Bombyx mori: one gene and its partners. The protein of the gene in region 4 purifies or fractionates together with the protein of the main gene of each other region. This does not show direct contact. Links are inferred from orthologs where the notes say so. Each region holds a gene or a part of one and is shown on either strand. Other genes may lie near its edges.

Region 1 (4,298 bases), on a different chromosome or scaffold from region 4:
TTTAGTGCTAGAAACTTTGCTCTCTTTTATTTATTTTATAATAATAGAAGACGACTGTAATTTATAAACGCAATTTACTGTTTGAACCATCCATATATTAAAACCATATATTAAAGGTAAGTCTCAGTTGTTATTGGTTTTAATGTATTTGATAAAATAAAAATACATGTAAAAATCTGTTGTTTTTGGGGATATCGGGGACGTCTCAGGTACAAATAACAACGAAAAAGGGGTCAATTGGGATGAGAATAAATGAAATGGAAACGACCTAAGTATAAATAGGCACAGGTTTGTAGGGCTATCTATGTAGTTATAACAATATTTTTTAAATTTGTTGGTAAGAATCTGGTTTATTCATGATGTTTTTGTCTACAACTTTTATTCAAAATTATCAATACAGTGTTATTTTATTGTTTGGCAAATATTTATATATCAGTTACGCGTTGTTTTCTATTTTTAGATATGCCTCGCGTGTACGTATCAAAGAGTGCAAATCCTTATAAAAGATATGATCCCTTAATATAAAAAATTATACAGAATAGAAGGCTATGAAATTAGGAATAAGTCTTTAGTTAAAATAGCTAAGCAATTTAACATAAGTCGGTTTTGCACAGACTTGTGACAAGAACAATGAAATCTCATGGTGGACAAAAATGTCTAAGTAATACATAATAAAATATTTTAATATTTGTCCAAAGTGGGGGTATCCACTTGATAAATCCATGGAATAACGGAAACAACTAAGCTCTTCAGATAAAAATATCTGCCCTTAAGTACTTACTAAGAACTAAGAAATATAAACCGCTTATAAGAAAGCCCGCTCGTTCGCATTTAGGTGCTTACCCTCTCTTAAACAGAATCGTTTGGGACTACAATAATGTCCACGGTAGCGCGGTCTCCTTTAATGTTCATTCGGAGTTGTCCGATTGCGCTGAACTAGCTTTAAGTGATGAAATAGATGTTTTTTCTAATTGTCTCACAACTTACAGGAAAAATCTGTCGCGGATATTTTTCCAAGTAAATATAAGTAATTATTAATTAATCATAAGTAATTAAATCTAATCAAGTTTTAGTTATATATTTTATATTTTTGTTATCAATGCACTGTCGATTGCACCTATGATTGAGGTGACATCTGCCATGTACTTTTGTCAGTTTTTCAATGTTTTTTATTGATGATCACTTTGTTGGTGCAACTAAATAAATAAATTAAAACCAAGGAGTGCCAGCCCTAGCAAATTTCTCTATTAACACTAATTTCGTCCCCAATAATCGCAATTTCTGGGTAAATAGGGATAACACCTATTTTTGCTTAAACTGGAATGCTCATTACATAGCTTTAAATTGGATAACAAAGATACCCTTAAGACTCAATCATTTTGGTGCCGATATAGCATTTTAAACATCAACAACTACCATAACATTGTTCATCAAGTTGGAATTTGTCCCTAATCACCCCATTTTACCGGTATACCTACGTTTTAAATGTCAATTGTCACTATTGTCAGTGTCAAAATCTCACCATTGCGAGCTGTTGTATAAAAAAACGATTTGAAAAGTTATTAGCTGGAAAATAAGGGCTGTACATGCACTAGGATTTTATATATTTGACTATAACAGTAATACAATTTACAGAACACGTCTTGAAGTTCAAAATTCAAAAAAGATAAAGAGGCGATAAGAAAACAGGCAGCTATGCAAAGATAACCTATTCGTTCTAACAAAAAATATAAACCGTGTTAACAACTCATGTTTTAGATCTAAACAAAAAAACAATGCGTTACGCTCAGTTAATAGTGGGACCAGCCGGAAGTGGAAAGGTATAATATTTTAGTACCTTTTTTTTTTTTTTTTTTTTTTATTGCTTAGCTGTGTGGACGAGCTCACAGCCCACCTGATGTTAAGTGGTTACTGGAGCCCATAGACATCTACAACGTAAATGCGCCACACACCTTGAGATATAGTTCTAAGGTCTCAGTATAGTCACAACGGCTGCCCCACCCTTCAAACCGAAACGCATTACTGCTTCACGGCAGAAATAGGCGGGGCGGTGGTACCTACCCGTGCGGACTCACAAGAGGTCCTACCACCAGTAATTACGCAAATTATAATTTTGCGGGTTTCTTTACGTATGCATTTTTTCTATGAAAAACTTTTTTTTTTATTTACTAAAAAACGAAGAAACTTAAGTACGTTAAACATCTTTAATCATCTTTTGATAGAAAATACAAAAATGTAATGCATGTTCCTTAATCAAATCATTAATACTTATATGGTAAAATTCTAATATATAAAATTACCCTATTTGTCAGTCAACATACTGCTCTACAATAGTGAAACATGCAATGGACTCCAAACGCATTGTAGATGTAGTAAACTTGGACCCAGCAGCTGAACACTTTGACTATGAGCCACTCGTAGACATCAGAGAACTAATACACCTTGATGATGCTATGGAAGATGAGGAATTGCAATTTGGACCAAATGGTGGTCTAGTGTTTTGTATAGAGTGAGTGTTTTGTATTGTTATTGTAATTCACTGAAACCCACAATCACCACAAAGTAAATACTGTTAAGCCTTTGGCATTATGAGCACAGGTGACTTACCCTTCAGTATGTATGATGATTTTAAGTAAAGTTTTACTATTAATTTTCTTATTTTAATAGGTAATTACATAGGCCTTAATTTATGTTAGGAGGGCAATGAGATGGTAATTGATAGTTGCAACAGTAAATGTATTATTGAATATTTTTTTATTGCTTAGATGGGTGGATGATCTCACAGCCCACCTGGTGTTAAATGGTTACTGGAGCCATAGACATCTACAACGTAAATGCAAAACCCACCTTGAGATATAAGTTCTAAGGTCTCAAGTATAGTTACAACGGCTGCCCCACCCTTCAAACCGAAACGCATTACTGTTTCGCGGCAGAAATAGGCAGGGTGGTGGTACCTACCCGCGCGGACTCACTAGAGGTCCTACCACCAGTTATAATAATGCTGTTGGTGTAAGTAATAATGGTGCTTACTGTTACTTTGCCACAGAAAAAAATGTACAAAAATTGTAGGCTGATAGAAATTGGCCAGTAATAACCTGAAACAATATTTACAATTTCAGGACCCTCTTAGAGAATTCTGACTGGTTAGAGGAGCAACTTGGAGATGTTGATGATGATTACATTTTATTTGACTGTCCAGGACAGATTGAGTTGTACACCCATCTGCCGGTTATGAGAAGATTGGTTGATTTGCTTCAGAATTGGAACTTTAGGATATGTGTAGTGTTCTTAGTGGACTCGCAGTTCATGATTGATGGTGCAAAATTTTTATCAGGTTAGATAAATTTTATTGCTAATTTGTGTGGAATGAGCAGGGATCATGAAAGTTTTGAGATTGTCTTAATTTAATGAACTAAAAAATATGGAAGTTAATGCTTTGACAGTGGAAATGTGTGTCTCATCAGAGGCCAAGATCATTTTTGAGGAGTGAGACATCTTACTATTGTTCATAGACAATTTCACATAAGCATTACCAGCAGCAAGTAAACCTGTCAAACATAAATAGAACATAAGTACATATTTATGCACACTTAATAATGCTCCTTGATAAGACAACCTCCCAAATCATTACTAACGCAGGGTGATGACGACGTTGTACCCTGTGAGCATACACTTTATCATTTTGCTTACTGTAGTGTTCTTCAATCGTGAATTTTTTTCATTGGAAAAGTGAATATTTGTGTGCCTTTCAGCTGCGTATCGCAACAGAAGGCGTTTTGATCGATCACTCTCTTTGATTGTAAAGATTGATTAAGGGCATGTCTTGTATATCGACGATATGCACCGAGCTTCAGGTCTTGTTTTATAATACGCGACAGAGTCCTAGCGGGAATATTCATTTCTCGCGATAAGATTTTTTCGTCCTAGTGGGGTTTCGACGAATGCTGGCTTTAACAGCATTAACAGCCTTTGTAGTTCCAACAGTACACGGCCGCCCCGATCTTTTCTGGTCTTCGACAGACGAAGTTTGTTGTATCTGTTCATAGTACGGTATACGACCATACGGCTGATAGCAGGCTTTTAAAGTGTCTGGAATATGACCAACAGCTCCATACCCACTTTATGCAAGGCGATCACTGATTCTATTTTCTGTAACACCCCATTCCATAAGGTAATTTTATAATGAGCGAAAAAATATGTGAAATGGCGCAAAATCGAAAGGAGTTTAAAAAATAATAAACGTGTTCCAAATTCAAAATACATAAAAAAAACTTGAAAAAAAGAAATGTTTTAGTGTT
Region 2 (4,146 bases), about 4.7 Mb from region 4:
ACGGCGAGCAGGAGTTTCTCGTAGAGCAGCTGCGGGGTGGGGTAGGGCGGCAGGTCGAGGCGGTTGAAGCAGGTGTGCGCTCGCGGCAGGGACTCGACGCGTCCCCAGCGCTCCACGCAGAAGCGTCGCGGGCCCGTCGAGCCGCGCAGCGCCGCGAACCCTTCGTACGGGATGGACGACGTGCCCGTCACGAACTGCACGAGCCTCAGCCGCTGCTCGTTTGTGAACCTGAAGGAAATATCGTATTTATTTATTTATACTTTTATTTCAGTTTTTTTTTTTAAACCATATCATCACTGTCACTACATAGTATAAAACCAAGTCGCTTTCTCTGTCCCTATGTATGCTTAAACAACGGATTTTGATGCGGTTTTTTTTAACAGGTAGTGATTGAAGAGGAAGGTTTTATATGTATAATATCCATTAAATAGTGGAGAAATCAATAATAAATTACAGTTTCCGAAGCGAAACGAGGGCGGGTCGCCAGTTTTGTTAATAAGAATTACTTATAATCTATATTAGTAACTTAAAAAATCTAACACGTAATTATCATTACATACATTTTATATCGTTACATTTGTTTTTTTGTCCAATACATTTAATACTATATCCTCATATTAAAAAAAGAGGATACAAATACAAATTTTGACAAGCACACTGAGTTTGTTTCGCTGATATATTATCTCAGGGTTATGCTTCTTTTAGAAACCGACGTTTCAATGTATTGAAGTTACGAGAATGTAATTATTATTTTACATTTTTGTCGCAGCGTTAATTTTAGAAGAATGAAAACGGGATGCCTCGCCGCATCCTGTTCGACTTTGCACTATTTTTAGAACATTTGAGTAGAAAAAATGTTTTCCTTTGAAAAAAATTCAGAGAGAGAAATTCATTAACCATGGATCAGATTACCGTTAGGACCAAATAAATGAATAAAAAAATGTATAATGATATTGTATTCATTTTTAATATGTATACTTCACTCAACATTTATGTTGTAATTTGAATTTCAATTTTGAAATCACTATCAAATTACCACATCGTAACCAACGACTTATCGTTGCTTGGAAATTGACAAATCACAAATATATAAATAATATTTGTAATTTATTTTAATTTACTTAACGTATTTGTCACTGATATTGCAATAGACCTTATCTTCGGCGCGCCATAAGGCATCATTTTTAATGTCATTTCAATCAGTCCGGTGTGTAGCATTACATGACCATAACTCTTGTAAGATCTTACGGGAAGCGCTTTGCTTACGGAAGTCGGTGTCTGTGCCGCGACCGGCGGTATCCACTTACCCACGAGAAGACTGTATCAGTGGCGGATTAAAAGTCCAGAGCGCCATAGGAAATCAATTTATCGGCGCCTTTATATAATACTATAAATTTTAGCTATTTGTTTTTACAATTACGATGACGTTGTATCATCAAACCCTAGACTTTAGTAGACCAGGACCTTTGTACTTACGCTCATACGCGAATGAAATACAAACAAACCCGCAATATTGCAAAATACGAGTATATCGATGCTTGTGCAATATAATCTATTATAGATTTAGATTATAGATCAGCATTTAGTTCTTAATCGTCGATATGTTATTTTCATTATTTATTTAAAAATTCTGAGCTCGCGCGCCCCTTGTAACTACACGCCCCTAGACACGTGCCTAGTTTGCCTTACGGATAATTCGCCTCTGGGCTGCACGTGCGTTTGACTTCGACTGTTATACCAAGAAAAGTCATAATGAGGCTGATCAGTGTGCTTAGTGCGAGTTTTTTAACGTTCTCGATAGCGTAAAAGTTAGCTCATATTTGTATCGAATGGGATCGTTTGCGTACGTTTGCCGCTAGGGGCGCTGTTCCAACTGCATACAAAATTGGGTTAACTTTTACGCTATCGAGAACGTTAAAAAACTCGCACTGAGCGCGCTGAACAGCGCGTACCTGTCGATGGCCTGCCAGAACCAGAGTATGACTGGGTGCGCGTCGTGGTAGCCGCCGCGGTAGTCCGTGTGGTTCCTCCAGTCGGCGACGTCCAGCTCGGGCGCGCCGGCTATCACGAGCTCGAGCTCGCGGGCGTCGAACGCGGCCACCAGCCGAGGGTCCACCACCTGCGCGGAACACTGCGTTCAATACGAGCGACGAATGATGACGATATAGGCCTGACTATTCTTTATAGGCTCTAAAATTCATATAAATTTGAATTTGGAAACGATGTACATGACAACCCACAGACACAGCCCACTGAGTTTCTTGCCGGAACTTCTTAGTGGGTCGCGTTTCAGATCCAAGTACGGCTCTTGCTAGGGTTCGTGTTAGCAACGTCATCAGGTTTGAGCCCCGTGAGCTCACCTACTAGTTAAGGCGACGCTGAGGCCTCTCAAGGCTATCAGCTTAGGTAAGAAAAAAAATGTACATGCGCAAGTAATAAATGCTAGCCTCCTCCTCCGTGCGTCGTGTTCCTCAGTGCTAAGGATCGTGACCTTTACGGAATACATACGTAAGGTTTACTTGGGAAAATTGCTAGTGGTGGGTTCCCGCGTCCTTCCACAGCAGAATTTCAGAGGGGATTTAGTTCCTCTGAGCTACTGAAGCCCTAGTTCAGGTTAGTTGACCGCCGCCCGTTGCTCGGCGTTATATTTTTACGTTAGTACCATTAAAAGTACCTTTTTAAAAATGAAAACAGAAGCGATATTATTTGTGTGATGACATATAATTTTTCGCAGTACATACAATTATAAAAGACGAATAAGAGGTATTGTGTAAATCTCGTATCTCTCTCTCTCTCTCTCAACACAATAATGGCGGTGATGTCACGAACTTTGTGCAATAATTTTGTAACAAACAACTAACATTTTATTTACAAAGTTTCTAACATTAAAGCTACATTAAAATTTTATCACCTTACATTTGCAGACGAGCTCAGGGACTATCTGAATAAGTGATTACCGGTGTTCCCTTCAAACTGCGCGGTAACGTTGTGTATAATTCTAATATAAAATAACATACAATATTTAGAGGAATTTTTATCAGTTGGAATACAAAAGATTGGAAGGGATGATTGGGAAGTCGTAGCTTAAACAAAAGCAAACCGCTTTGGCAAAAGACAGCGGGAAATTTGCATAAAGATGCTTCGAGAAGATTAAGAATATTTGTCTTGGAACGATGAACTTTCCAGTTCATGCTGGACTTGGGTCTAGAGCAGTCACAACGCATCCGTGGGTCCCAGTCAACTGGTCGATCACATATACCCATATCCTCTCTCTCATAAATTGTAGAATTTTTATCGCATAAGAGTCACTGACGTCTACAATAGGCAACCAGATTGACAGTTCCTATTTTTAGAAATCTCCGCTCAAACTTGATATAACACACCTAACCTAACGCGACCCACCACGTGCAACTTGATTAGAGGTCAGAATAAGTGACGAGCTTACCATATACACAAAAACAATGATTAGCCACAAATGACGTCATGCGTTGTGATCGATGTCAGAAAATATTGGAATTATTCAATTTTACTCCTAAAACTTTAATTATTAATATTAATTATACGAAACTAGTGATTGTATCATAGTTTTAATTTAATTAACATTCGTAAACTAGTTTATAGATGGCTTTTTTATTACTGACATTTATATTGTAACATTTCGAACAACCCATTTTTATAAGTTCATCAAATGTGTATAATAACGTGTCATCGCACTTTTTCGAATATTTGTAACGTACGTCTGAAGCTACAGATAACATTTACGGCACTATATATATATATATTATATTATCGTTTAGTATCATTATGTAAATTTGATGTTGTAAAATCGTATCTACCTCAACCGTGGCCTTGTGAAGGAACTAAGTTTGTAAGGTGCATTTAGATTGTTGCGTGCGTGAAATTTTAGCTTATATACTAAGTTGGTATTACGTTGTCGTCGCTGTGCCCGTGAAACCAGATCAATACTCCTCCTATATAGTCTTCGAAATCGGAGCCAAAAAGTCGGATTACGATTACTCTACGCTATCTATCCTTTAGTTTTGATTACAGATACGGCGAACGTTAAAACCCGACCTGTTGTCTCTGACGTTCAGAAAGGTCTGTGTGTTTAAGGGAGCTTTGCCCACTGAGTTTCTCGCCGGATCT
Region 3 (4,066 bases), on a different chromosome or scaffold from region 4:
TTTTTAGATTTTTGGGTTTGTAAATTAAACCTTAGACACAGCCCACTTAGTTTCTCACCAGATCATCTCACTGGGTCGCGATTCCGATCCAGTGGTAGATTCTGAGAAGCACTGCCCTTGCTAGGGCTAGTGTTAGCAAATTCGCCAGACTGAGCCTGTAAGCTTACCTACACGTTAGGTGAAGCTAGACCCCCTTGAGGTAACCAGCATTGATAGCAAAAAAACTGTTGCACATGTAATTATTTGTGGCATTTTTATGATTTCATTAATTTACATATGGCTACTTACATATGAAATGATCCCGAACTCTACTTAGGATTGCTGAATCTTTGATTGTGTCATATCTATAAACATTACGACTACATGCATCATATCTTGCATCTTTCACATATGCTCGGTTTTTAGAGTCAATACCAATAACACCTGGTGAGAAACAACTCTGCAACAGTGTGGCTTCACTGTCACAAACTTCACGAGTCAGTGTTACCTCTGGCAGCAATCTGTATGTAGCTGTTGCTGTAGAATAAAATGGATATGTTAGTTAAACCATTTTTTTTAATAATTAAAATAAGCTTATCTCATTTTATAAAATATTCATAAGAAGGGACTAACCAACAGGTGAAAATTTTGCATGATCCTTTCCTATGCCCTTCACGGCAATCATTTGAAGGTCTATTTCATGGCCAGGTCTCATTTTTGATATAAGAATATCCTTATGTACAGGACCCACATCAGCTTCTTTATAAACTGTAGCTTGGTTGCCAATTGGATGCCACTTCATATGGGATGAATAAACTGTATAAACATATTTGTAATTAACTAAGTATTAAGAATAACAAAATCATCTAGCATTATATAAAAAAACTATAAATATAAATTTCATAGATTAGTCCATAGTTCAAAAAATCAGCTCTGTGTTCTGTCCTATCAGCATACAACAATACCACTCTATATCTTACCATGGTGTTGTTACAGGTGGCTAAAAAATTTACCAGAAAATGGCAGTAACATTCTATAAGTTTGGTATTGGTAGTCATAATTTATCTTGTCCATTTCTACTGCAAAGGAATCCAGTTTGTAAGGATAGCTGTTTTGCTATGGAATGGAAACTTCAATCCCATATCTTAATGTGAGTGAATCACCTATATCTATGCACTGCAGCAAGCTTAATACCAGGGCCATATGCTGATCTGCGATCTACTGTTATATTAAAAACATTAATAGGCTGTTTGTTACACATTATTATATTGATATACAGAAAACTCACTACTATGATTTTCATACAAATCTTCAGCTCTATATGAATCTTTTGGTTGTGACTTGCTATTGGTACATTTTACTTTTAGTGAAAATTCTAAAGTGTTGAATTCTGTTCCTTCCGTGTCTTCTGAAAATAAAATTTCAAATTATTTACAAGAGCTGCTCAAACAATTCTTTTATTTTCTGTTAACTTTTTTTATTTCATCATAGTTACAATAATAAAAATGGACCAGGCATCTTATCCTTTAGGCTGTGAAAACTTTACTGATTATGAGATATAAATGTTTATTGAGGTATAAAAGTGAGTATTTAATAACATCTTGCATTCCAGCTCTAAATTGTCAATTTTAGGATACTAGAAAAATGAATATTTGTGGTTTTATTAGTGTACTAGTTTACGTAATTGATAAATAAAAAATAATTAGACAACCAATTTCACAGAAAACAATCATCTTCCAAAACGAATGCCCACATATGGTCTCGGCTTTGTAATAATTTGTACACAAACCTTCAGATTTATATTCAAACAATCTTGGATCAGCTTTGAGAGGAATCAATCCTAATCTGTGTGCTAAAACTTCATCCTGTATTATAGAAGTGTTGTTCTTGATCATTACTTTTTCAATAGCCATACTAGGAACTTCACTTAACATGAGTCTCCGGAATGCGTTCGCAAATGCTGGCTGGATCCCAATCAAGTCAAATTCCATTTCGAAATTGTCCATTCGTACTACAACTATCTTAAACTTCTTCACAAACTTTTTGAAGTCCCATGTTTCATCGTCTAATCCGTAATCTTCGGGTGCATTCTGTACGGGCAAAAATTATTAGGTTATGATCATGTGCATTTTTATCGTTGTAAATAAGTCTTGCAATTTAAAGGAGAACCTTAACACGGAATTCTTCAAGAAAAACTCGGGGTTTTTCATCGAATTTAGGCATTTTTGCAATATTTTACTAATTAATGTAAATAAGGTTTTATCTTATTTCACAGGTATACAGTAACGTTTACTGTATATAAAGTTTGTCGCATATTTTTATACAGATATAATTGACAAAATTAAATATTTCGATGATTTTACGTAAGGTAGTGATCATAGATTATACACTTAAGTAGTGATTTTAAGTAATTTTTAGTAGGTAATTTAAACTTTGACTATGTAGTAAGTAATGTAAGTTTGTACTTATGTAGGTACATAGGTACGGTACCGGTAAAATGGGGCGATTAGGGATTGACAGGCGAATCGGGAAAAAACCGGGAAAATCTTTCGACGCTCAATATAAGTTTTATATTCGTTGCAAAATCTTCCATTTTTTGTAGTTTAATAGTAGAATGTTGAAAGTTCACAAAACAACTCTGAATATGCATGATAATAGCTGCTAACTTATAAAAAATCGCGTTTCAAATTAACTTCCTGTGGTGGTCATTATTTTAGTGCTAGAAACTTTGCTCTCTTTTATTTATTTGATAATAATAGAAGACGACTATGATTTATAAACGTTATTTAGTGTTTGAACCAGCATATATATTAAAGGTAAGTCTCAGTTGTTATTGCTTTTAATGTATTTGATTAAATAAAAATACATGTAAAAATCTGTTGTTTTTGGGGTTATTGGGGACGTCTTAGGTACAAATAACAACGAAAAAGGGGTCAATTGGGATGAGAATACGTGAAATGGAAACGACCTAAGTATAAATAGGTACAGGTTTGTAGGGTTGTCTATGTAGTTATAACAATATTTTTTGAATTTGTTGGTAAATATCTGGTTTATTCGAAGCGAAATTGGGAATAAGTCTTTATTTGAAATAGATAAGCAATTTAATATAAGTAAGTCGATTTTGCAGAGACATGTAACAAGATCAATGAAATCTCAAGGTGGACAAAAATGTCTAAGTAATACATAATAAAATATTTAATATTTGTTCAGAGTGGGGGTATTCATCTGATTAATCCATGGAATAACCGACACACCTAATCTCTTAACCCAGATAGAAATATCAGCACTGTCGATTGCACCTATAATTGAGGTGATGTCTGCCATGTACTTTTGTCAGTTTTTCATTTTTTTTTATTGATGATCACTTTGTTGGTGCAACTAAATAAATAAATAAATTAAAACTATATATAAAAATAAAAATAGTGCCAACCCTAGCAAATTTCTCATTACATCCCAATTAACCGCAATTTTCGGGTAAATAGAGATTACACCTATTTTTGCATTTTTTGCTTAAACTGGAATGCTAGTTGCATAATTTTAAATTAGACAACAAAGATGCCCCCAAGACTCAATCATTTTGATCCTGATATAGCATTATATACATCAACAACTACCTTAAAATTGCTCATAAAGTTGGAATTTGTCCCTAATCGCCCCATTTTACGGTACGGTACCGTACCGTATTGGAAAATAAATAGAGGTTTTTACTTGTTTGAATTGACAACTCGCTGGGCAAAAGGATCAAAGACCATACAATCCTAATTTTTGTTACAGTAAGTGAAGTCGTGTCTGTTTTATGTAAATCGAAACAGAAAGAAATGAAAAAAGTGTGTGTGTCCGCTCCGACGCACGACTGGAGTTTACTGGATATAAAAAATTAAACGAAACAATACGAGAAATAGTTCTATATTACGACAACACGATACACTACAGATTATTAACAAATTAACGAGACACAAAACAAACGACTAACAAATATATGAAAATACAATAATGAGAGAAACGCGCGATCAGTACGAGGCTTTGTGGCGGACTGCCGGCGCAGCAGCCCGGCGTCACCTGCGATAACGCGGCCGCGCGTTGGCTC
Region 4 (4,086 bases):
TTTTTTTTTTATGATTGAGAGATTACTGGTGGCCCGAAGGCCTTTCCAGTTTCACCAGGACAGGTGGGCGAGCAAAGGCTCAGCCAGGAGGGGTGGGATTTGCTAACAGCTGCCCGAGCGCCTCCGAAGGAGACCTAACAACTCAAGAGCAATTGCTTCGCGAATGAATCTACTACCGGATCGGAATCGCGACCCGCTGAGAAGATCCGGTGAGAAGCTCAGCGGGCTGATGCATGGGCTAGGTTGCACGTCGACCTCTTTGTCGAGTTCGACGAGTACGGTTACTGGGGTCCCTAAGCCTGCTCCTAGTATTAGAGCTGAAGGCATCTAATGCAAAGGTTATTGGATCTGATGGATCCGTAAGGACGTGTCTAGGGCGTCGACGGTGACTGGCTCCTGCATGATCAGGATTCGGTGAGTAGTCAGCGGCGGCAACGATAAGGCGATTATCATGACGCATATCCTTATCGAAGTACCGTTCCGACGCTGACTTCATGTATTTCTGGATTGATTCAAGGCCCAGGTCGTCGTGTATTGTCCGAACCGTACCGAGAATTACCGAATTTATACGATGTCAAGAAAAGGGATGTCCAATATGCGTGTTTGAGGATGTTCTTTAATAAAAATAAAGTTTAACTTCTTACGCGCGTACATAAGTACACGCACCCTTTTTTTTTTGTTTATTTAGAGTTTCTTCAGGTTTAAGCGCCTTATTCACGATCCATCACGACTGTACGTCAGCTCAAGGCCGCAATTAATAATAATTATCGACGTACGTCAAGCCTATTCATGATCCTTTTGCATCGTGCATCGTGCATGGCCTTGGCGGGACGTACAGCAAGATGGATCGTGAATAAGGCGCTTTAAATAGGTAATCGGTGGTTTATTAACTGTCTATTATCTGTGAAAGTGCATAAATGTGGGAAAATGAAACAAAGCTGCTGAACGTAACTTCTCGGGATCCTCGAAAATCCACTGAAAAAGTCTCAGTAAATGACCACCGTTTTACTGAGATTATATTTCATCCCATATCACCTCATCTCATTTTATTTCGTTTTAATTTCATTTCATTTCATGCCATGTTTTATATTAATCGACTTTATTTCATTTCATAATATTATTTTTCATTTACCTAAAAAAACTTTTCATTAAAATTAAAATAAGACTTGACCTTGACTTGGTTTTAGTTACCAGGTCATAAAATCCCTTAAAAAAAGTATAGATGGATTTAAAAATTATTTATGGGCACGCTGTATGGGCTTAGATCCCCTTGCCTTTCTTAAAGGAAAAATTGTACCAAAAAAATATCTATGAGTTTAAAGTTTGTAATTAAATGTGCAGAATTGTGCTCGTGTTTGTTCGTTGTTAAAAATTGCACTTATTGTTTACATATGTACTCATCTGATTTGTTCCATTCTATAAAACAATTCCAAGATTCCATCGCTTGGTAAATACGGACAATATGATTTACTGCCGAAGATAGTTCAATATTACAATAGCTTATTTAATTTACATGATGGGCGAACTTAATAAAAAACAAAATGAGTGGGATACCAAAGGATTACGGGACCCTGTCAAAACCCTTGAGGTACTAGCTTTATTACTTTTCTGAATTACTACTATTGTTTTGATACACAATTGAAAAAAAAATACACGAACTATAATATTACTACTAACCAAACAACAAAATCATATAACTGTCTTTAAGATTTTGTTCATTCATTGATATTTAATCACTCCAAAGTTCAATTGTATAGTAACAAAAGTTGTAAGTGACAATATACAGTTGAGTTCAAAACCCTACCAAAGTATGATCATAATTATTTGAATAATAAAATGTATGAATTTTATAGAATAACATCATAAAAATCTTAGAAAAAAATAGTACAATTTACTGACGTCCTGATTTTATCTTAAATTTCTAATATTTCAGCTTAACACTGTTCATATGAATGTTTTCTTTCAGGATAAATGGAAATTAGTGCCTTCATTTCTTCAAGTTAAAGGTTTGGTGAAACAGCACATAGATTCATTTAATTACTTCATAAATGTGGAGATAAAGAAGATAGTACAGGCTAATGAAAAAGTATTTTGTGAATCTGATCCACTGTTCTATATTAAATATTTAAATGCCTATGTTGGTACACCTGACTTGGAAGAAGGGTTCAATATCACTAAGCCAACGACACCTCATGAATGTCGTCTTAGAGATATAACATACTCAGCTCCTATAACTGTTGATATAGAATATATTAGAGGAAACCAGAGGGTGATCAAAAATAAACAACTGATTGGAAGGTAACATCTTAAATAAATGAAGAAATGCATATTCTAATACTAGCAGATGTAATGTTGCTTGATCTATTACTATATCTTGATCTTACTCACTAAAAAGCAGAACATTCCAGGCTTTAAAAAATTCTGTATTATACATATCAAATGAATTTAACATTCTGTACTCCCAATTGAAAATATCCTATCTTAAAAACAATTCAATGAAAAGCTCGACAGAGAAATTATGTTTTATTGTTTGTCCACCCCACCCAATGTAACTCAGTTAAAAATTGATTGACTTATGGGCTGCAACTATTGATGATGTAGGAATTTAAGTAGTTCATCATCTGCCTTTTACCTATCTTCACGACACATGTCTGTCAAAGTATTAATAAAGTAGTCAAAGTAAAAACAGTTTTTGTGTCAATATCAAAGTAATAGTATCACAAATTTTTAACATGTTAATGATTCCTTTAATTACTTTAACATTAGGTCTTTGCTTATGAAGTTTAACAATACTGGCCATTTGAAATGTAATTAAATTATATACCTATTATTAACATCACTCTCATATATCATTTTGAAATCTGTATTTTGATTCTTTACAGAATGCCCCTCATGCTTAGGTCTTCAAACTGCGTTCTTACTAATAAATCGGATTTTGAGCTTGCACAGTTAAATGAGTGTCCCCATGATCCTGGAGGCTATTTTATTATAAGAGGTAAGAAACCAATTTAATTTTATACAACTAATATTAAAAAAAAACTCCAATGTATATAAATGTAAAATGTACATAAAATATTTAAATGTGTAATAATTGTAATCATAAAGTTAAATTTTATTAATTTGTTAATCTGGAGTAAAGTACATTGGGAGCCTTATATTTAGTCAGAATAAAAATAAACGAAAATTTAAATAAATATAATATAAAGAAATATAATAAATAAATATAAAGAAAAACTTTAAGTTAAAAATACATAGAATAAAAAATTTGGCAAGACTTAAAGCATAATAACCTAACATTGACCACATTAAGGTTGCATTTCACACTACATTTGGGTTTTTTTTTGTGGTCTAAATGAATGAAATACTGAGTTCTCTGTGAATATACAGTTATGAGCTAGGTTTCTAGACAAAATAATATGGTTTTAATGAAACACATTTATTAACAGTGCTCTAAAACAAAGTTAAAGACAATCAAATTCAAATTATCATTTTAACGATACTGTAAAAATAACTGCGTTTGAACGTTCAAAGAGATGATCTGATTGAGTAGCATAGCCAAAAAATATGCTAAAATTTATCTAAATTTCTAAAAAAAAAAGAAAACAGTTTTGGGATCCGAACACTATTGGTTTTGATTTCAAGAGTGACAATATTTTATTATTCGATCACTATTGCATACAGTTACATGGAGTGAATTCAGTTAGTTTTATATTGGCTTCATGTACGCTTTTTCATTTATGCAGCCCCTTTAATAGAAGTTCAATGGATGTATGGTTTTTAAAATGAAATGTATTTTTGTTTTTATTTTTCCCTGCACGAGTAGTACCTAGCCCCGTACCCGCTTGACCTTGAGTTTCAGGACACCTGTATAAGTACATATATATGTAGTTTACTTGAGTAATGAAAAACAATTTTTATTGTCTGTAGGTCAAGAAAAGGTGATTTTAATTCAAGAGCAACTCTCTAGAAATCGAATGATTGTTGATGAATTCAAAGGAGCAGTACAATGTCAGGTTACAAGTTCCACACATGAGAAGAAAACTAGAACGAATGTGATTCTTAAACATGGAAAATATGTGCTCAGAC
Region 5 (4,247 bases), on a different chromosome or scaffold from region 4:
TCTTTACTTTTTGCTTATCACTAAGTTAACATAGTTCCAACTAATTCGAACTGTTGGTTTGCAATTTGTTTTGTTGCTTCTGACTGGCGCTAAAACTCAATTTATGAGTATGGTTGGTACTTGAGTCTGTCATGCATATTTATTGCTTGATATCATGTGGTGTACAGGTTCTAATTATTTTATCATCTCAGAAATTGTAATATTATCAATATCACACACTATGGCATGGAAATATTTAAACTGGTGACAAAGCTTGCTGATAAATTTTTTCTTAGTATTGATTCTAAGAACAATGTAAATATATCAATCATCAATTTATTTTCTATTTTTAATAGGTGGAGATCAAGCACCCAAAAACAGCCCATCCTCTGACAAAGATAGTACAAATGGGAGATCACCACCAGATGCCACACTAAATAATCACGTTCCTGAACATATAAATCACAATTCACCAACTCTTAGTCCCACACCTTATCCAAATAAAGGCCTAATATTGCAGTCGTTGAATTATATACAAATGGACGCATTTAGCTCATTTTTCCCCAAAAATAATACTGAATATGAGAAAGAAAGAGATGAAGATAAATTTACAAGAAATAGGAGGGAGCCAGCTGTACTCTCTGGTATTTTGCATAATATCGAGAATAATTTTAGAAGTTTATTTTGAGGATTTTACAGTATAAATTACACATTGTACTTGCATTAAAATGTTGAAATGACCACTAGAATGTTAAATAATTTGTTGCAAAATTGTTGTTGACCATAACTAATTTGCAATAAATTGCTTTAAAACAGGAGCCTTCTGTGTGACAAGTTATAAAGTAGACTTTTCTCAGTTAAAAGTTACGTAATTTTAACTATATAAAATTATCTACAGTTATAAAAGTATTGGTTTTTCAAATGTGCACACAATATTCATATTGTAACTAAGTATTCTATTGTTAAGTAATGTTCTACAAATATCTGTTTTAAAAGCAAAAATTTTGAACTTATAATAGAATTAAAATAGTATGTGTTTTCAACAGAAATATATTATTTAATGCTTTTAAGTATAATGTCTCTAGTCACAATTTAATTTGTAGAGGAAGCTTATATTCTTTTAACTAGATCAATGATACTTATTTAAATAGGTATTAAAAATGTTATTAATTATATTTTTTTTTTAATTATTCCAACCATTCAGTCATATAATTACAAACTTGTGGAGTAATTAGTCCTGAGGAATTACATCTTTGAATCAAGGGGCATATTCCACATGGCACTTGAACAAGGCCTGAAGATGGTATAAGAGTTTCTATAGCTCTATATACATTACTTCCATCGGGAAACACACTTTTTTCTACCTTCCCATCATACACTAGGGTGTTTAAAATTGTTGTTACATCATCAACATCTAATACAACCTGTAAAAGAAAAGTAACACTAACAAAACGTTGATGTAATAATAAACATCATATAAGTAGATATAAATGAAACATTAATTAATTAAATCTACATGGTATTTTAAAATGTTCGCTGACCAAGTTAGTGTATTGTGGTAGGACCTCTTATGAGTCCACGCGGGTGGGTACCACCACCCTGCCTGTTTCTGCCGTGAAGCAGTAATGCGTTTCGGTTTGAAGGGTGGGGCAGCCGTCGTTACTATACTTGAGACCTTAGAACTTGTATCTCTAGGTGGGTGGCGCATTTACGTTGTGGATATCTATGGGCTCCAGTAACCACTTAACACCAGGTGGGCTGTGAGCTCGTCTATCCATCTAAGCAATAAAAAAAAAAAAAAAAGTTAGTGTATGTTTGTAAAATCTTACTTTACTAATTCCCAGATCAGTAATATATTTTTGGACTTCAGTAGCAGTAGCATAAGCTTGTGTTCGTCCAAAAACAGGTCCCCTAGGATTGTTTCTCATATTATCAGCTCTTTGACTCAAGAACCTGTGGCATTGTACATTGAGGACATCTACAAACTCGGATTCAAAGTCTTGGTCTTGGTACCAAGCTCCCCCTGTCAATGATCTATCTGGTTCCAAGTTGTAAAGCATATAAACCTTCTTTTTAGAGGCCTGTGAATTAACCAGGTTTAAATTGTAAGTTAAGTATCAGATAGATCTTCGTTGATTTAAAATTAAATTTACTTACATTAACACATTTCACAGCTTTTATCACTTTTTTACTTTCCAAATTTTTGAGGACTTTAGTCAGTTGAGTGTTTGCAAGATTCGAACGGATCCTAATATCTCTAATCCAAATTCCTTTATTTCCTGCTTCTTCAATCAGATTATAGACTACCTTTTCTTCATTATCTGCTCCTTTGATTGCGTGCTTATTTGTTTGAGTTTTCAACCTAAAATGAATAAAATTTAATAATATTATTATTATTAATATTATTTCAAGTTCTTTGAAAATTCTTCTCTAAATCTTCCAATTCTTCTCTAAAAATTCTATAAATAGACTATATTTATTAGTTACGCTAATATCTTTAGACACCTTCATTATTTTGCTAACGTACTTATAAATTAAAGATCCGTTTTGATTAAATAAATCAAAACGTTCTTGTTTCAGCAGATCATTTAAAGCAGTTACTAGTTCTACTGATGATATGCCAGGTATTTCAGCAATTATATCCTTGTCTGTAATTCCTTTCGAGCTTTTTCTTGCAAGATTTAGTATTTTCTCTTTTGTATCTTCGGAACTCATTTTTGGAAAATATTAAGCGTTTGTGTATTAGATTTATTAGAATATGCTTTGGGGCTTGGGCTAAACCATGGAGTTAATAAGTACCTTAGTTAGAATAGTAACTCTATGGGCTAAACAAATATATATATTTTTTAAGGGATTTTATGACCTGGTAACTAAGACCTTTAAGTCATGTCTTATTTTAATTTATATTCATATTTTTATGAAAAATGATATTATGGAGTGAAATGAAATAAAGATGATTAATTTGAGACATTAATCAACTGGGATGAAATTAAATGAAATGAGATGAGATGATATGGGATGAAATATAATCTCAGTAAAATGGAGGTCATTTACTGAGACTTTTTCAGTGGACTTTTTGGAGGATCCCGAGAAGTTACGTTCAGCGGCTTTGTTTCATTTTCCCACATTTGTGCAATTTCACAGATACTAAGCAGTTAATAAGCCTGAAGAAACACTAAATAAACAAAATAAAACAATACACACAACTTCACTCCTCGCGTTCCCGCCAAAAAATTAATTTCAATCAGCCACCTTGGCTGAAGTTTTTACTCCTTTTTCACAAAAATGTAGTTTTGTGACTCTTTGATAAGACACGCCTCACCAAATCATTACTGACGCAGGATTATGACTACGTTGTTCCTTTGATCACTTGAGCAGAACACTTCTTTATAGCACTTCTTCAGAACGGTGTGCATACCCTAAATTATACTATCACTTTGCTTATTGTAGTGTTCTTCAATCGTGAAAATTGTTTTATTGGTAAAGAGGATATTTCTGTGCCATTCACCTGCACACAAGACGTTTGGATCGATCCACTCTCTTTAATTGTAAAGATCGATTTAGGTCATGTTATGTACATCGAGGATAAGCACTGAACTTCAGGTCTTGTTTTATAATCTGCGACAGTCCTAGCGGGAATCATCATTTTTCGCTGTTGCGACGAATTCTGGCTTTAACAGCATTAGTAGCCTTTGTAGCTCTAGCACCACGAGGCCGCCCCGACCTTCTCTGGTCTTCGACAGACAAAGTGTTTTTGTATCTGTTCATAGTACAATTTACGAACATACGGCTGATACCAAGCTTTTGAAGTGTCTGGAATATGACCGACGGCTCCATATCCACTTTGTGTAAGGCGATTACTGCAAACCTATTTTCTTTAACACCCTATTCCATATTGTAATTTGATAATGAACACGAAAAAATATGTGAAATGGCGCAAAATCGAAAGAAGTTGAGGGAGTTCATATAGAGTCTTTCTTTCGCCGTAAAGTCGTGTTTTATGTAATTAACACCACAGTTGAAACAATATAAATTTTATTGATGTAGCGGCATAAACAATTCTAGCTAATTATATTATATTAGTTATTTTACACATTATAAATTGTTTTTACGTTTTAAATATTTGGCGGTAAAAAAAAGGTCCCGTGTCACAGACTATATTCTGTTTCCCACCTCTCGTGCGTTCCGGCTTACGCATCATAAAAAGGTGCGTACTTAAACGCCACAAAGTTTTTAAAATAATATACGTGTTCCAAATTCAAAATCAT
Region 6 (4,085 bases), on a different chromosome or scaffold from region 4:
CATTCTACTTCATTTCGTTCCTAGAAATATGAGTTCGAAATCTCAATTGCTTTTGAAGGTTCCACCTTACCTGAACGTAACTGCTTCTTGGAATAAAATGGATGTTAGTGGCGCCCGCCGTGCGGCTCCACTAGACGCCATAGTTCGCCAGCACAACACTCAGAACTATTTTAAGTGGAAACATTGTAAAAAAACCTAAATCCATCCACTGTGGTTTCTAATACCCCACCTGATACATGGAGGTAAGAAGGCAGGGCCCGACTAAATGTAAAGTTTGGATTACAATAAACATGTCAACGAAAGGACTTGCATGCCAATTGTTTGTTATCCTCTGTGGTATCAACAGTATTGGAGATTAGTCGTCAGACCCTTACAAGTCCAAACTACAAAAATGAATTTTTCAGAAATATATTTTATACAAAATTACTTTACATGAAATAAATATTAGTACACTTTTTTTTGTTTAGTTATTCTTTTCTATATTATAAAATAAAGTTTCTTGTTATTCCTGGCTATTTTTATTTTAAGTAACAATAAATTTTAAGGTTCCAAAAATTAAAACCAAATATGAATCTAGCCATGATCATGTTTTATAATCATATTAAAATTCACCTGATGAAACAGAAAAAGTTGTCACTGTTTTATTGTGACATCCCACCTGGTATTAAAATTTTATCAGACCTCTGACAACATTATGAATGTCACCATCCTGCTAAGAGTATAGGAAGTTTTAATTATATTGTATAGTTGTCCATAGAAATAAGGTAATAATCTAACCATGCTCACTTAGAGTATGGTGCAAGTAATAAATTATCCAAACTTATTAACTTTTCAGTTGAGACTTTTTACACAAAGTTATTACCTGATTGCCATAGTTCATCTCTGAACTCGGACATGCGTATAGTATATCATTCAAATTGTTGGCAGTAAGTTGGCTCTACCCCTGGCAATGGTGAGCCGTATGCTCGTCTGGGCAAGGGCAAATGAAAAATTCAGGCATTCAGGCTTGTTAACTGGCCAAACACTTCAAAATAGCAGTAAACCTTAAAGCTATGTACACAGTTAAACAATACTCTCAAGGTTTCAGTGATATTTCTACTTATTACAGTTGCCTACCAATCACATTGACTCTGCATAGGTGAGCTTCAGATGCTGTGACAGCATTGGGAATATACATATAGCACAATGTGGAAAACATTTTACTATTTAAATTATTTTTCTCTCATATATTACTCTAATGTTTAGAGTTTAAACATTCAAAGCTTATTGTTTTTGATTAGAAATATATCACTGTCACCTTAGACATTGTTAAAGAATGGTGAGGACAACAACAAAAAACTCCATATTGTCTTGACTTCTTAAATGAAGCTATTCTCATAATTGTTGGGACAAAGAGACTGCTTCTCTGCATTTGTATTACATATTCCATGAAAAGTGTTGAAAAGTTGTTCAAGATCTATTTTATTATTAAAGTTTATTATCATACTACTTTCCACTAGACAAGGGTTCATATTCTACTGCCTGAAAAAACTGTTTATTGAGTTTAATTCCACATTATTTGAGCACATTCAGCTGGGGAATTAATTATTCTCTGTGGAGTTTTCGCTGTAGTATTCCTTTCTTTAAATATGTGGTTAAGTGTCTTGGAGTATTGTCACACTAAAATGATTTATTTATCTGGTTGAGATGGATATTCAGTTAGATTTTCCTTTTCTTGTCATCATATTCATAAAGTACTGCTTCATAATACCATGTTTGCCCCCCTTGCCCCTAAACATCAGCCAGAACTAATTTATCAAGCCACACCGTAATAGTATTGTTAATAATAAAAAGTTTCCCAGTACTACCTCACACTGCTTTAGGCAAATGTAGGACTAGTCTCACTGTCAATACACTGCGACAGCTATATGAAATGAAAGGATCAGTATAGTTAACCGCTAGCAACTAGCACATTAGACTTGGTAGAGGTGGATTGCTCTGGAGGTGGTTCAGGCATGGTGCGATCAGCACGTTGGATGCGAATATCATGTTCCTCAATGTATTTATTGATCTCCTCTCCCTTCTGAGTGAGTTGGTCTTCTAGGGACTGGATGGCCTTAGGTAGCTGTTCATAATTGCTGATCAGCTCTGGCAACACCTCAGCTACGGTGCGTTCGACAAGCACGCCCCCAAACATCCGGAAACACTTACGGGTCAACTCCACTCCCCGCAAAGTCTCAATTACGATCCTGTAGACATAATTTACTATGTATTTTGTATTTTTTTAAGCAGTAGATTGATATGCAATAGATTTATTCCACATTTACTCACTTATGTTCGTTTAACTCCATTTGTAATTCTGATATTTTACTCCCTAATTGACGTTGTTCATTACGAAGAGTTTGGAAACCAGCAAAGATTTCCTCATTCGTTTTTTTTCCTACTTTTGATGTATTTTTAGCCATTTTACTCTAGGTAGGTAGGGGAAATGGAAATCAAAATTTTAGGATTTTTTTTTATATAGTTTTAAAAAAAGAGTAATCAATTTAACTCTCTTTGAAAAGTAAAAATAATCACGGTTTACTGAAAGTTTTAAAAATAAAAGAACATGTAAATGTATTTTAAATTAACAAAAACTCAAATTAACTAGTTTTTATCGAATACACGGATTAGGTTATGTACATTAATGTACATGTCAGTTTTTTTTTTGCGAACGCTGGCTACTTTACCTTTTAGGCAATTTTTTTTTTTATTACTTCACAAGAAAATCTTTACCCTCAAATAAATTGTGACCATAGTTTGTGAAACACTTGAGATAAGTTTGAGTCATGACAACCAACTCCTGAAAAGCATCTATTATATTTAAAAAGCATTTTTGGGACGTATTTTGATAATATCCTAATCCTTAGATTAAAAGCATTAAAGTCTTTGTCTATTACTAATAAAATTTAAACTACTAAGTTCTAATAGTACAATAGTTGGGGAAAAAGTTTCTTCGCATTTTTTAAGAAAATTCACATTTTTTAATATTGTTTATTTACATTTAACTAAAGTATGTAGGTACCATTTTGTTCGATAACTTTTTGCCATCTTGTAGGTAGGGACATGATCCCATTGCTATGGGGCTTCCGATCAAAATACCGCGACAATTGGTTTTGGCAGTCCTCTCGTGATGTTAACCTGACAATGCCTAAAAAATTCTGAAGAGATCGAAACAGGTGGAAGTCTGAAGGTGCAAGGTTAGGACTATAGGTAGGAACATTTTATCCGTAATACCCAGCTTAGATAAGAAAAAAAAAATGTATGTGTGACGTGTGTGCAAGTCACACACGGTAGAAGTGAAACCTTTAAAAAATAAAAATTATCGCAAGGGTCAACCACTCCATAGTGCAATGGAGCAGCCTCACCCTGGGGGAAACCGCCTGCATGATCACCGTATCCCTACGCCAAGTAAGTATGATTAGATTATTTTTTTCCTACCTATGCTGATAGCCTTGAGAGGCTATATCAGTGTCGCCTTAACTAGTAGGTGAGCTCACGGGGCTCAAGCCGGATGATGTTGTTAACACAAACCCTAGCAAGAGCCGTGCTTCGCAGAATCTACCACCTGATCGGAAACGCGACCCATTGAGAAGAACCGACGAGAAACTCAGTGGGCTGTGTCTGAGGGTTACTTTATTCGTCGAGCCCTTCGTCGCAAGCGACGGGTTCGACGAGAACGATGACGGGTTCGACGAGAACGATGACCGGTGCTTGAGGTACTTAAAAGCACTGTTAGTGGATCGGGAGGATCCGAAATGACGTGTTTGGGGCGACGTCGACAGCTTTCCATTCTCACCGCAGGATCGGGATTGTAGTTACCGACGGCCACGATGAGAGGGTTCTCGTGTCGTGCCGCTTTATCGAAGTGGCGCATTGACGCCGACTGAAGATACTTACTGATGGACTCTAAGTCCAGGTCGTCGTGGAGCTCCGACGGCTATCCTGCAAAAACGGGATTGAATAACTTGGAATGATTTTAAGCTAGTGCGGGCCGCGTGAGCGAACACTGCGCTTGCATAGGTCATATCAGGGCGTACGCAAGTTTTGTAGAGTGTCACCCTATT
Region 7 (4,295 bases), on a different chromosome or scaffold from region 4:
GCCATATTTGTCAAGTTTCCCTTGTTGTATGAGGATTTTTTTCTGTGAGGCTTTCGGTCCGAGACCCCATTTTCTGGGGTACGTGTCTCGTTCCATTATGACACGCTTGAGTTTCGCGGCTACACCATGATCGCATGAGGCCATCGTAGACGTGGTCATCAGAGCAACGGCCAACGCTACTGCCTCACCTTTAGTGGTGACTATTACGATTTCTTGGTCAACTTCGATGCCGTCTTCGTATCTTAAAATACCTGGTAACAGCACTTTGGCTCCGTAGCAAACAGCATTAACAGCGCTGTCTTTGATAAATATCCTTTTGTGAGCAATCAGGAGGCCTTCCAGAGGTTTGATTACTCGACGAAGATAAGTCTCGTCTTTGTGGTTTTCATACGACCATTGTGCATCTAGGATGTCGTGCATCGTGACCATGCCTTCCTTCTCGCCCTGAATGCCGGACCGTACTCGTCTGAGTTCGATCATCTGACCTCCGACGCCAAGCATCAGACCTAAATGCACACACATCGTCCGGATATACGATCCAGCCTCGCAACTAACCCAGAACACCCCAATATTCTTGTCCTGGTCGAAATCCAGGAGTTTACTGTCGTACACCGTCCTGACACGCAGTTGTCGCTTCACGGCCGATATAAGCGGGGGCCTCTGGAATAGAGCTCCACGCAGCTTCTCCAAGCCCTGTGTGACTTTTTGAATATTCTCTACGGCTGAATGCAAGTTGAAAACGGCTACATACTCTTTGCCAGCGTTCTGTTGTGATTTGACGAGTCTCGTGGCGCGGTCTATGCAAACGATAAGGCAACCCGTAACTTTCGGATCGAGCGTGCCCGAATGACCAGTCTTTTCGACTTTTAAAATACGTTTTATCCATGAAACTACTTCGTGGGAGCTGGGGTTGCTCGGTTTGTCGACGTTGATGAAGCCAGATTTGACGTAATCAGAGATGGGGCGTTTTAAAGGCGAGTTGCCGAATGGTAGCGGCGTGTAATGGTTAGTGCGCACATTTAAGCGATCGAAGTTTTTCAACAACAAAGGCCAGTAAGCGGTGTCCAGCTTCTTCACGCTCTCCGAAGGTTCGATTTTGAAGTCGCCAATTGTCTGAAAAGCTCCCAACGAAACACCATCCTTGTTTTTTTTCTTTTTCTTCTCTGAAAGTGTGTCGTTACCGGGCTGCAGTACCTCCGTCATTTTGATGAATTAACACGTATCTTTTCTTACTCTTAATTTTAGGCGATCGACGCAATCACTTGGGTAAACAATGCCCTATAATCGGGCACTGTTTATTGAAAGAACTTTGAAAATATAACACAATGCTCGGCCATATAGCACGTGCGATTCGGTTGAGGTTAGCTTCAGATTTGTTTGCGTATGATTATGGTCAGATGGCGCCAACGTGCAAAGCTCGTTGTGCCAACATTAAAACAGAAAATAATTCGGATACTTGTTAATTTTTTTAACCTTAAAGCAGAACATAAACATGTAATATTTTTATTGGACTGAAGTTTTATACTTTTTCGTTTATTATTGATAATTTTAATAATATTTTGTTAGTTTTTGACACTTAAAAACAAAAACGATTTCCAAAAAATGCCACGAAATATCGTAGTCACTACTTACACTAAAAATATTAAAGAGAAAATGGAACTTAAACGTAGACCGAAATATACATTTATTCAACTCCTAAATTTCGTACATTGTCTTGGCCTATTTATCATTAGATAGGCAAAGAGAACTAAAACTATGCCGCCGAATTTTTGTAACAAAAAACTATATTATTATCGACAAGGAACGTACAATGGAATAATTTAAAGACAGAACCCAATCCCCTCAAAATCTTAACCGTCCAACAGAAATCCATCAATTTCATAGTTGGGAATTTGCTTAAAGTCCAACAGAGATTATGGTAGACCCAAAAAAATAAAAACTATTTAACATCTTGTCCTTCCACCAAATCCTTATCAACTTCTTTCACTCTCACTTTAAATAGGAACTAACTAGTAAAAACAAATCTAAGTAGTCCAAATATATAATATAGGTAAAATGGGATTCTTTTTTTCAGTGTGAGATATTCCGTCAAAGTATCCAAATATTCAGTACCTATACTTCAAAAAAAAGTCACACTTGACATTGACATTTATTATCAATGTTTTTTTTACATAGACCTATATAGTATTTTTAGTGCCGTAAAATTTCAAACAGCAACAGAGTCAGCGTGCTTCTTTCTCATACTGTCCGTTGTTGATATTGTTTTAGTAAAATAAATTCACAGGATAAAACTTGATCATGGCGGGCGTGCTATTCGAGGACATTTTCAACGTCAAAGACATGGATCCGGAGGGCAAAAAGTTCGACAGAGTCAGCCGATTGCATTGCGAATCGGAGTCATTCAAAATGGATTTAATATTGGACATTAATTCTTGGATATATCCAATGCAACTAGGCGAAAAGTTTCGTCTAGTTTTGGCCACGACGTTGAGGGAAAACGGATACCCTGACGGCGGAGAATGGAACCCTCTGGAAACCGAAGGAAATCGAGCAGATAGTTTCGAATATGTCATGTCCGGAAAAGTATACAGGTTAGTTCTAACATAAAGGTGTTGTAGCGGCAGGTATCGTACAACAGAAGATATTTTACAGATGCAGTTAGCAATTATACAATTTCCTAACGATCATATTCGGAACGTCGAACTACCGAGCAAAATCATGTCCTCAGTGGAAATCTTTCCTTATAATGAAGCTACCTGTCACATTAGCTCCTCAATTTGATGTTGAAGTGGATGAGAGCCGAAAACGGCTCAGTGGTGTGGATTGGGAGACGCCCATGCCCAGCAGGGGACGCCTTGGGCTAATGATGATGGTGATGGTGATGATGATGAACACTTGTAATATCTATGTGGTTATAAAGTCTATATAAACCAATTTAACAGTATTATGAGTTTTGTACATAGGCAGAGTGGCACCTTCCTACAATATGAGGTACCACCACCACCTGGAATCAAATAAATCATAAATTTTGTGGGTTTCGTCATCATCGTCAGCCCACAAACGTCAGAACACAGACCTTTCCCATGACTCACCTCAATGGCTGGTCCTGTGGAGCCTGCATCCAGCAGATTCCTGTGACCTTTAGCAGGATATCAGAAAACCGAACAGAGCTGCCCACTCTCCCGGTGTACTATGGCCATTTGTGATCAATTTAAAAACTCACAAAATTTATCCATTTGTGATATTTCATTGCCTACCATTCATACTTACCTATGCGATTTGAACACTGGCAAATTTCATCCCTTAGTATGAGAATACAGTGTTCGATTTGTGATTTGATGTACCCACCAGATATGAAAATCTACAGATAGCCAATAGGACTAAAAGCAACTCCTAATTTGAAATAGCTGCCAAATGATTAATTAGTTCTCAATTACAAATTTAACGCAAACTCAACTGGGTTACGTTTAGTTAAGGTTATGTTTAGTTAAGCAAAAACAATGATATACTGTTTGTGTTACTATTTATGCTCCTGTATCAAAAATTAAATATATTCTTGTCCCTGAAGTAGTCTGGCTGATATCAGTGGAAAAGTATTCCATTGGAACTACTGCAAAGTAATCATTGTTGGACTAATAATTGTTGTATTTAATGCAATTGAGTGTACAGTGAAAGCTCTTCAGAAACCGTGAATATGGAATGGTAATTTATATATATCGGATTATAGAGGATACATTCCTAGGTGACATAGTAAAAAAAGTCTTTAGGCATAGTTGTGATAAGGTCTATTTTACTTTTTTATTTGTCCATTTGATGACAAATTTTCAAAATATGTTCAGTTCTATACCTACATATTGGAGTCCTTTTTATCAATGTGTCGAACCCGTCGCTTGCGATGAAGGGCTCGACGAGCAAATTAACCCATAGACACAGCCCACTGAGTTTCTCGCCGGATCTTCTCAGCCTGTCGTGTTTCCGATCCGGTGGTAGATTCTGCGTAGCACTGCTCTTGCTAGGGCCAGTGTTAGCAGCACTCCGGTTTGAGCCCCGTGAGCTCACTACACGTTAGGGGGAAGCTGATATAGCCTCTCAAGGCTATCAGCATAGGAAAGAATAAAAAAATTAAGCAATTTTTTTTTTTATTGCTTAGGTTTGTGGACGAGCCCACAGCCCACCTGGTGTTAAGTGGTTACTGGAGCCCATAGACATCTACAATATAAATGCGCCACATACCTTGAGATATAAGTTCTATATTCTCAGTATAGTTACAACGGCTGCCCCACCCTTCAAACCGA

The links.
Region 1: the proteins of DNA-directed RNA polymerase III subunit RPC2 (region 4) and GPN-loop GTPase 3 purify together in Homo sapiens (affinity purification with mass spectrometry; 3 studies listed by BioGRID and IntAct, counting the BioPlex papers as one, with this or other methods). This does not show direct contact. The link is inferred for Bombyx mori from reciprocal best matches to the Homo sapiens genes POLR3B and GPN3.
Region 2: the proteins of DNA-directed RNA polymerase III subunit RPC2 (region 4) and calcitonin gene-related peptide-receptor component protein purify together in Homo sapiens (affinity purification with mass spectrometry; 5 studies listed by BioGRID and IntAct, with this or other methods). This does not show direct contact. The link is inferred for Bombyx mori from reciprocal best matches to the Homo sapiens genes POLR3B and CRCP.
Region 3: the proteins of DNA-directed RNA polymerase III subunit RPC2 (region 4) and DNA-directed RNA polymerases I and III subunit RPAC1 purify together in Homo sapiens (affinity purification with mass spectrometry; 7 studies listed by BioGRID and IntAct, counting the BioPlex papers as one, with this or other methods). This does not show direct contact. The link is inferred for Bombyx mori from reciprocal best matches to the Homo sapiens genes POLR3B and POLR1C.
Region 5: the proteins of DNA-directed RNA polymerase III subunit RPC2 (region 4) and DNA-directed RNA polymerase III subunit RPC6 fractionate together in Homo sapiens (co-fractionation; 4 studies listed by BioGRID and IntAct, with this or other methods). This does not show direct contact. The link is inferred for Bombyx mori from reciprocal best matches to the Homo sapiens genes POLR3B and POLR3F.
Region 6: the proteins of DNA-directed RNA polymerase III subunit RPC2 (region 4) and prefoldin subunit 2 purify together in Homo sapiens (affinity purification with mass spectrometry; 3 studies listed by BioGRID and IntAct, with this or other methods). This does not show direct contact. The link is inferred for Bombyx mori from reciprocal best matches to the Homo sapiens genes POLR3B and PFDN2.
Region 7: the proteins of DNA-directed RNA polymerase III subunit RPC2 (region 4) and DNA-directed RNA polymerases I, II, and III subunit RPABC3 purify together in Homo sapiens (affinity purification with mass spectrometry; 5 studies listed by BioGRID and IntAct, with this or other methods). This does not show direct contact. The link is inferred for Bombyx mori from reciprocal best matches to the Homo sapiens genes POLR3B and POLR2H.

Annotation. Positions count from the first base shown.
Region 1 is NC_085122.1:14,098,448-14,102,745, forward strand, and holds the start of GPN-loop GTPase 3, read left to right. Parts: upstream 1-1,498; 5' UTR 1,499-1,775; coding exon 1,776-1,820; intron 1,821-2,312; coding exon 2,313-2,509; intron 2,510-3,119; coding exon 3,120-3,334; intron 3,335-4,298. UniProt on the Homo sapiens protein: Small GTPase required for proper localization of RNA polymerase II (RNAPII). May act at an RNAP assembly step prior to nuclear import.
Region 2 is NC_085116.1:3,015,504-3,019,649, forward strand, and holds the start of calcitonin gene-related peptide-receptor component protein, read right to left. Parts: upstream 2,801-4,146; 5' UTR 2,783-2,800; intron 2,120-2,782; coding exon of another isoform or gene 1,953-2,119; intron 229-1,952; coding exon of another isoform or gene 1-228. Other genes in the region: uncharacterized protein LOC101741169, read right to left, coding at 1-228, 1,953-2,119. UniProt on the Homo sapiens protein: DNA-dependent RNA polymerase catalyzes the transcription of DNA into RNA using the four ribonucleoside triphosphates as substrates.
Region 3 is NC_085131.1:5,579,017-5,583,082, reverse strand, and holds the start of DNA-directed RNA polymerases I and III subunit RPAC1, read right to left. Parts: upstream 2,801-4,066; 5' UTR 2,203-2,800; coding exon 2,149-2,202; intron 2,070-2,148; coding exon 1,769-2,069; intron 1,388-1,768; coding exon 1,268-1,387; intron 796-1,267; coding exon 613-795; intron 517-612; coding exon 289-516; intron 1-288. UniProt on the Homo sapiens protein: DNA-dependent RNA polymerase catalyzes the transcription of DNA into RNA using the four ribonucleoside triphosphates as substrates.
Region 4 is NC_085116.1:7,720,257-7,724,342, forward strand, and holds the start of DNA-directed RNA polymerase III subunit RPC2, read left to right. Parts: upstream 1-1,286; 5' UTR 1,287-1,513; coding exon 1,514-1,588; intron 1,589-1,966; coding exon 1,967-2,298; intron 2,299-2,882; coding exon 2,883-2,995; intron 2,996-3,927; coding exon 3,928-4,086. UniProt on the Homo sapiens protein: Catalytic core component of RNA polymerase III (Pol III), a DNA-dependent RNA polymerase which synthesizes small non-coding RNAs using the four ribonucleoside triphosphates as substrates.
Region 5 is NC_085131.1:5,845,520-5,849,766, forward strand, and holds the start of DNA-directed RNA polymerase III subunit RPC6, read right to left. Parts: upstream 2,801-4,247; 5' UTR 2,695-2,800; coding exon 2,507-2,694; intron 2,342-2,506; coding exon 2,137-2,341; intron 2,061-2,136; coding exon 1,809-2,060; intron 1,404-1,808; coding exon 1,167-1,403; 3' UTR 668-1,166; coding exon of another isoform or gene 336-667; 3' UTR 1-335. Other genes in the region: putative OPA3-like protein CG13603, read left to right, coding at 336-667. UniProt on the Homo sapiens protein: DNA-dependent RNA polymerase catalyzes the transcription of DNA into RNA using the four ribonucleoside triphosphates as substrates.
Region 6 is NC_085129.1:194,080-198,164, reverse strand, and holds prefoldin subunit 2, read right to left. Parts: upstream 2,801-4,085; 5' UTR 2,445-2,800; coding exon 2,311-2,444; intron 2,229-2,310; coding exon 1,931-2,228; 3' UTR 393-1,930; downstream 1-392. UniProt on the Homo sapiens protein: Binds specifically to cytosolic chaperonin (c-CPN) and transfers target proteins to it. Binds to nascent polypeptide chain and promotes folding in an environment in which there are many competing pathways for nonnative proteins.
Region 7 is NC_085130.1:16,021,253-16,025,547, reverse strand, and holds the start of DNA-directed RNA polymerases I, II, and III subunit RPABC3, read left to right. Parts: upstream 1-1,495; 5' UTR 1,496-2,298; coding exon 2,299-2,591; intron 2,592-4,295. Other genes in the region: H/ACA ribonucleoprotein complex subunit 4, read right to left, coding at 1-1,203. UniProt on the Homo sapiens protein: DNA-dependent RNA polymerase catalyzes the transcription of DNA into RNA using the four ribonucleoside triphosphates as substrates.